Linked DNA regions of Arabidopsis thaliana. The protein of the gene in region 2 purifies or fractionates together with the protein of the main gene of each other region. This does not show direct contact. Each region holds a gene or a part of one and is shown on either strand. Other genes may lie near its edges.

The links.
Region 1: the proteins of HCHIB (region 2) and OSM34 fractionate together in Arabidopsis thaliana (co-fractionation; one large-scale study listed by BioGRID). This does not show direct contact.

Annotation. Positions count from the first base shown.
Region 1 is NC_003075.7:7,024,259-7,028,237, forward strand, and holds OSM34 (osmotin 34), read right to left. Parts: upstream 1,967-3,979; 5' UTR 1,856-1,966; coding exon 1,461-1,855; intron 1,209-1,460; coding exon 869-1,208; 3' UTR 594-868; downstream 1-593.
Region 2 is NC_003074.8:3,961,388-3,965,705, forward strand, and holds HCHIB (basic chitinase), read right to left. Parts: upstream 2,598-4,318; coding exon 2,138-2,597; intron 1,772-2,137; exon of another isoform or gene 1,737-1,771; intron 1,662-1,736; coding exon 1,114-1,661; 3' UTR 749-1,113; downstream 1-748. Other genes in the region: CYSB (cystatin B), read right to left, coding at 1-43, 289-489.

The DNA.
Region 1 (3,979 bases), on a different chromosome or scaffold from region 2:
CTAAAGGAATTGTATATTCTGTGGTATATACTTTTACGTCCAATCTTTAATTGATTCATTGGAGACCGATCAATATTAATGTTAAACTCAACTACACCTAAAAGTCAAATTCCTGATGCTAAAATATTTAGTTTCACTAAACGTAATTCTCCCGAAAGCAGCCACGAATCGGTCTACATGATTTTACACACGCAATTAGACATTGAATTGTCTAAGGATATAATATTGTTTATTAGTCAGTTTATCCAACTTTATCAATAATTAATTATAGAAATTTTGACTTGAAAAAGTTAGTGATCTACTAGATTTTGTGTTTCTTCTGTATATTCGCAAACTCAAACCAACACAAGAACAATAAATGAGCTCAGTAGATTCCAATGTAAAATCTTGCAAACAAAAATTAAGATGTTTTCTTTAAGATATTTGCCAAATACTACTATACTGGAACATAAAGTTTTCTTTGTAGTATACGTAATCCAAAATCATAATTTTCTTTTTTCTAAACTTGATTTTCGGAAAATTATCAATCACAAAAATGAAAAAAATTATATTTTTCAATGTGAAAATGTTATTTGGGAGAAAGAATATTTTAATTTTCTAAATAATATATAGCATATTTATTTCAAGCATATAGTAAAAAATACAAGAATGATCTTCATTGTATCGAAGCGAAATTGTTATTTTTACATTAATTGATCGGAAAGAGAAAAATAAGTCCAACTTATACGTGGGTCGACTAACGTAATTATTATTGCATGCCTTATTATAATCCATTAAGTGTTTATGGTAACGTATATATGATCACGTCACACGTACGCATATCTACGTACACCCTCACACACACACACATACAGTAGATACGAGTCTATTAATTCTCCTCGGTGACCATCTTGATCGGGAGCTGGTGGGATCCAGTAGCACCGAGCCTAGACCTTGGACAAAACACGACCCTGTAGTTAGTGTTGGTGCAAGTGAAAGTGCTAGTCGGGTCATCTTGTGGATAGCTGTAAGCGTCAGGGCATCTCTGCTTAAAGAATCTTGAGTACTCAGTATCGCTACATGATCCCTGACCGTTCGTACAACAGTATTGGTTCGTCTGAAATACAGTACACGGGTTGTTGCATCCACCTGGGGCTCTCAACACGTTTGGACATTGTCCGTTTATGTCTGCGGTACATAGTATCCGATGGCAGTTCGAACTAGTTGGGCTGGAGATAGCACGCCAAAATAAGAAAGACAAATCATTATCGAGTCGTGTAAGAACCTAAAACGTTTAGAAGTATGAAATATAATTGTTCTCTTTTTTTATTATCTTTTTTTTTCTTGCATAGTAGAAAAAATGATTTTAACGCTTGTATATTATGTTAAATGTCAAGAGATTTTTACGTTTAGGAGTTCGAATTTATGAATAAAGCAAAAACTAAGTAGAACTTGTGAAACGATAATGGTGATATTCTTACCTAAACTCCATAGGTATGTTAAATCCATCGACAAGTGAGATATCGTAGAAGTCTAAGTTGTTGAATTGGTTCAAAGCGTACTCAGCCAACGTGTTTGGTGGCTGTCCCCAGCCAGTACATTGGAGTCCACCACTGCAGTCACCAGTTTGGCATCGGCCACGACCTGAGGAGTCAAAGTTACAATTGGTCCTACCCCAAATCCGTGCCATTTTAGTGCCCGCCGCGACATCTAGCCTCCATGATTGGCCAGCATCTAGACGTCGGCCACCTCCAGGGCTTGCGGCAGCCCACACGGTGTAACTACATTGGTTTAGGATTTCGAATGTGGCGGCTGTTGCGGTGGAGATGAGCAAAAGTGCGGAAAATATGAAAGTAGAGACCAAGAGGTTTGCCATTTTTTAGTTCTACTACTTTTATGTATGTGTGATCTATTGATAATATTACTATGGATTTTATATAGAGGTAAATGGTTACGTATTAGTTTGATTATTTTATTTTTTAATTAGTATTTGCATTTTTGAAGTTATCTAGATGATGAATGTTAATATGCTTTAATCATTTTAATAGGTTGGGGCGGCTTGACTATGTTTGATGGCTTGCGCTAACTTGCGCATAAGTCTTATTTCTAGATTGGGGTGTAGAATTAGGAGACACTACAAGTGACTTTGCTGTTTTACTATAGTTAAATACTATAAAACAAATCAATATTAATTTTAGATACAACCTTATTAAGTTGTAACTAAGAGAAATACTGAAATAGCTTAAAAAATTCATATTTTAAATGCATGATAAGAAAACTAATTTTGATCAAAAAAAAAAAAGATAACAAAACTTTTGTTAATTTTGATTGAGATTACAAATCAAGATTGAGTGGGATTACGAGCTGAAGTAGATTTGAGATTACGAACTAAAGAACTAAAGTGTCAGATTTGGTAAATGGTATCACACTTAATTTTGGAGTTTCAATTGGATAAGAGAAGCAAAACATTGAAAGAACAAGTTTGAAGATCTTCAATTCACGATCGAGCTGATGGAGAATTTCCTCAAGATTTTGTCTTTCTTTAATCAATTTTGTATCCACATGTAATTTCACAAGTCTTACAGTCTGACTATGTTGCTTCCTTATAATTTAATAAAACATATATAACCACAACTATATCAAGTATTTCATTCGTGCACGAAATAACGATCATGCGTGGTGCACACTAATTTAAGTAATTGTACTATATTAGAGAGATAAATGATGAAATATCGATGTCAATTTTATTATTTTCGTTAAATAGTATAAATATAAGTTTGTTGTTGAAAAAAAAGGATAAATATCATTTGAGATTACCGGGCATTTCTTATTATATAGTCCAAATTTTTTGTAGTTTTTAAGTTTCGATGACTATCATGTATATTGATGTGGACATTTTACTAACTTACTTTTTCAAATTTTTTCTATCGGACATTTACTATTTTTATTTTCTTATCAAAGATATATTTTATATCGTCAACCAATCTAGAAGTATTTATATTTCTAAAACAATTAGAGAAGAGGAAAAAACCCTCTTAGCAAGCCGATCAACAGCTTGATTACAACTCGAACGAACAAAATTCTAATGCAAGTCCTTAATTATAGTGTAGAGAACATCTTGAGACTTGAGTGTATAGAGATCTACTAATTTAAGTTGTAAATACTTGGACCTTGGGACTTCGAAGTTATATCACAAGATTGGTTCAGATGTCCAACAACTGAAAACATGGTGCAGCCCATTGCCCAATTACGAAGGAAAGTAATGGATTTCTTAATTCTTTAGCGAGTAAAATTTTTCACACGTAAGCATAACTTTTACTATTTTATCATTCTTTGTTATTATTTTGTGTTTTGATGGTTTGTATTATGTTTGTATCTTTTGTTTGAAAGTAATATACGTAGATGTTAAAAAAATGAATGTTACGAATTCATAATTTCAACTTCACGTTTTAATTTTGTCCATAAACAACGGCAGTGGCGGAGCCAGAAAAGTTTATTATGGTGGTCAAATATTAGTTTAACATGAGTCATAGGGGTCAGCTGAGATGAATCAAGCCAAAATATACCATTATATACCAATTAAATAAGCATGTAAATAAGAATTTTAAAATGTTATGGGGTCAACTGACCCCCTTGGTTATGAGTTAGCTCCGCCACTGGACAACGGTGTGTAAATAATAATTTATCCTAATACAGAGAGATTAATGTGAACAAAACAACATACTTAACAAATTTATTCATTGATTTTCTTAAAAATAATCATCGTAGTAACCATTGGTATATTCAAAACTTTTTCCAAAAATTTCTTCAACGATGATACTCGTCTTGAAAAATCATGTGACATCTATTGGCACACATACATCCTAGTGGTGCAGCCAAAAGTTTTGTTTACGAGGGTCATAATTATTTTTCTTTAAATAATAAATTATATATTTAAAATATATTTTTTTCAAGATTTTTTAAAATTTTCTAACTAAACCAAACTAAATAATCTAATTTT
Region 2 (4,318 bases):
GTTCTTTCGCCTTCACAACTCTCGCAAACTCAAGAAGTGCATTCTACGACGACCAAAGACAGAACAAACCAAAAAATCAATCAATCAATCAATCCCACAACATGAACGCATTTCATCACCGAATAATATACACTCTCTAAGATCTGCTGGTAACTGAAATTGAGATCAATAGAGAAACTCCGGACAAAATTAGTCTAATCGTGTTCTGGATCAAGACTATAATAGCATAAAACACACATATCGAGACGAGAGATGTGAAAAAATCGAAGATGATGAGAGATTTGGAACCTCTTTCTTGTTGTGTTCATCGACAGCGAAACGAGCGAGGCTCTCAACCTCACCACTGTTCTGATTAGCAGGGACATCGCCAACACCTCCGACTAAAGCCATCTCTTCGTTGCAGAAGCCTAAATCACTGGCGATCAGAGAGGAAATGAAGAGGGATAGAGAGAAGAAAACAATGAAGAGTAAGAAACGGCTTCTCATCATTCTCACCTTTATTTGGTTCGGTGCCCTGTATTTTTAGATATTTTTCGTTTTACTCGTCGAATTGTTGATTTTATCCTCTACAGTTAATTCGCCGTGTACCGGATTAAGGTGTCCATTTGGTTTGATGTTGGTTTTGTTGGTACAGTTTTAAGTTTAGGCTCTGATTTATGAAAATATTCTTACGATTTAAAACAAAAAAGGTTTACATTTGATTGGATGCCAATTGAATCGAATCATTTGTAAGAAAAGAGTACCGATTCGAGTTATAGATTGGTTTGATTTGGCCTCAATCGGTTAAGCTACCAACATTTTAAATAGAAATTCATACCAATCTGGATTACACATGAAAACGTTGCTGAGGATAGCGGCACGTTATACGAAACGTGTCGGCAGAGTCACACAGAAATTGTCAAACACCTTTACTTGTAATCGAAGTTTAAAACATCTATGCACCTTTCTTCGTCTTTCTCTCATCTGCTAGAGAGCCCAATTAAAAAAGGCCCATGGGAAATAAAATCGCAACATAAACAGTGAAACATCATTGGAAAGAGTTTTATTAGTCTGATATTATTGTTTTGATAATACAAAGCTGCGTATTATATTATAATAATAATACTCTCGTTACTAAATAGCAGCTTCGAGGAGGCCGTTAACGAAGGATCTTTGGTTGTAACAATCAAGATTACCACCAGGATTAACACCAAATATGTTACAATACCTCTGATAAAACCCTATACGATCGGCGACTCTCCCGTCTTGGCCACGTCCACACTCCAATCCACCGTTAATGATGTTCGTAATCACTCCATAACCCGGTAATCTCCCGGCGGCACGGTCGGCGTCTGAAGGCTGCCACTGGCCGGCTATCACGGCATGGCAAGACGGTTTGGGAGGCTGAGCAGTCATCCAGAACCAAATCGCGGCTTTGAAAGCGATCACTGCGTCGTTGGCAACAAGGTCAGGGTTGTTGAGTAAGTCAACTCCTATTGCTCTACCGCATAGACCGTAATTGTAGTTCCACGACAGTTGCATTGGTCCTCTTCCGTAGTAGCGTTTGCCAGATGCGCATGGCCACGTGGCGCTCGGTTCACAGTAGTCTGAAGCAGGATTCTGTTCTTGCTTGAAACAGTAGCCCCATGAATATGGTCCGTCTGGTGCTGTAGCCCATCCACCTGCACGACGTAACCGTCCACTTAATTAATTAGTATATAGCTATATATATAGTCACAACTCACAAACTTGACATTATTCAAAAGTGTATAATTTGGAAACTGGAATATTCGTAAGTTCCTTGATTGGTTATTTGCGTTTAGATTAATCAAGAATTTCATATTTTTAAAATAGTTTTTTAATTGTAAACGCAAACATCTAAGACCAAAACATTTTTCTTTGCGTTTGGCGTTTTTGTTTGATTTTTTTCTTTCGTTTCTAAATATGAGAAGCTATAATTTTTTCAATAAAACATATATATATATATATATATATATATATAGTATAGTAGTTCTTTGTATATATGAGCACTTGGATCCAAAACTCTTTACAGAAGAAAAAAAGAACTTCAAATTCTGATGTTTTAATAATAAACACCAAAATTTAGCAATTGTGTTTTGAAACAATCTCCGTCAAATTGTTAATGAGTTTTGGGTACCTGTAGTTTCATGGGAAGTCTGGCCGAAGAAGGCGGCGACCTCCTTCTTCCTCGTGGCGGTGTCTCCGGTGGTGCCAAAACCGGGGAAGGACTTTGCAGCGGTGATAAAGGCGTTGTAAGTGTAGAAACCTCTAGCAGGACAAGCGGCATCATTCCTATGCTTAAGCATATCATCGAACTGAGAACTTGAAATGATGCCCGAAAGATCGCCGGTGGGTCCAGGAGGAGTACCACCGGGAGTGCACTGGCTTTGGCAGCCAGGCTGCTTACAGTATGGTTCGGTGTTACCGCACCAGCCGAACTCGCTGCAGCATAGACCGTTGGGGCAGAGTGCTCCTCCAGCTTGGCGACCACATTGCTCGGCCGAGGATAATGATAGGAGAAGTGAAAAGATGAGAAAGAGAAAAAGATTAGTCTTCATTTTGTTCAATGTTCTATGGTTTTCTTTTTGTGGAGGCATGAAAGATATATATAGATCCAATTAATGAATGTTTTATCACATCAAATTCTATCTTTTTCCATAGTTTATTGTTTGTTATGTCTATGGAGTGTGGCTATGGGGAACAAACAGTATTTGGTAGGTTTGTTTTTGATTATATTTATTTTCCTTCCGTCATTGTTGCTAGGTTAGATATTGATTTGTTTTTTTGGGGGATTATCATGTTAATTCCAAGTAATGAGAACTTTCTATGTATGAAACTGTGCTAAATGTTGGTAGAAGAATACAAATTTTAGAAGACCAAAAGCATAACAAATTACACTCTTTTTGAGTTTTTTGTTCTAAAGTTACTATCGACGTAGATAGTGGGACACAAAGGTCGTAAAATTTTGGGTGGTCTGAAAACACGTTTACTCGAGTTGCGGACTAATCGATGATCTGAGCTAGTGTGCACTAATTAATCAAACACACACATATTCGGATATTCCCTATGATGTATACACAATACTTGACTATATCTAAGACAAGATCACAAGAGTTGCATGAATAGTCAAGAAAATGTATAACGTGGAGAAAATAAAAATAGACGTGTCTAAATATTTAACTATGATCAATGTTGACAAAAACAAAATTTAACTTTAATTATGAATATGAGGCGGCGGGTTCGTGATCAACTTTTTCAAAAAGCAATTGAGACATTTAGAATTCATTATAAGGTAACGTATAGCATTAGCCAGGTAATGATATAATGACTCAAGACCAAATCATACCAATATTTAATATATTCATTATTCCAACTACTCATGATGACTTTCCCTATTTCATAATGTTTTATCCAAAGTACGTGTCATGTTTACAAACTATATAAAATCCAAAACCTCGACGAAACCTGCGTGCTATTCTTATGTACTAACTATGAAAAGTAACGTTAATCATCGTTGACTGAATCTCTAATCTCCAATCTCACTGTGGGCTGCGTTGCCGTCTCTTTCGGGTAGAAATAATCGACCATGGAAAAAAATAATATTGTAATGTGAATATATTGGCAAATCCTACAAAATACATTTTAAATGTAATCTTAATTTTTGTAATTAATTACATGACAATACCATTAGAAAATTTTAATCAAAAATAGAATCTTTTAATGACATCATTAAGATTACCAAAATCATTTAACGACAATATTCATCTCTTAATTATAGGGCTTATTGGATTTAAAGACGGGTCATCAAAGATTTCCTAAACTGAAGCAAAATATACCGAATATTCAAATATCTATCTGTTACCAAATTATAAACAAATAAGTTCGTAAAACAATTTAATATTTTATATACGAAATCAATTAAAATCTTAATTACAGAAAAATTAGCATAAAAAAATATGGTACATTCGGGTCTATAGTATTTTTGCAAGACTTTTTTGGTGGATTTGAGTAAAAGTGCATTCAGGTCATATAGTACATTCTCCTATTAAATAAATATGGTGCACTCCTATGTTATTAGCTAAAATGTTTAGATTATAATTCAGAGTCATATCATAAATAAATTAATATTAATAAAATAAATGGCTTTTTGGCAAGACGGATTTGGAGGGATGGGTTTTTGAATCAACATTAATAAAAAAGTAAAATCTAATTAATCCACCGTTTTAATACGGATTAAATTTTTAATTTATTATTTTTTAAGACTACTAATATTAAATATATCAAATCATCCTAATTTAGAAAAGATTATATAAAACAA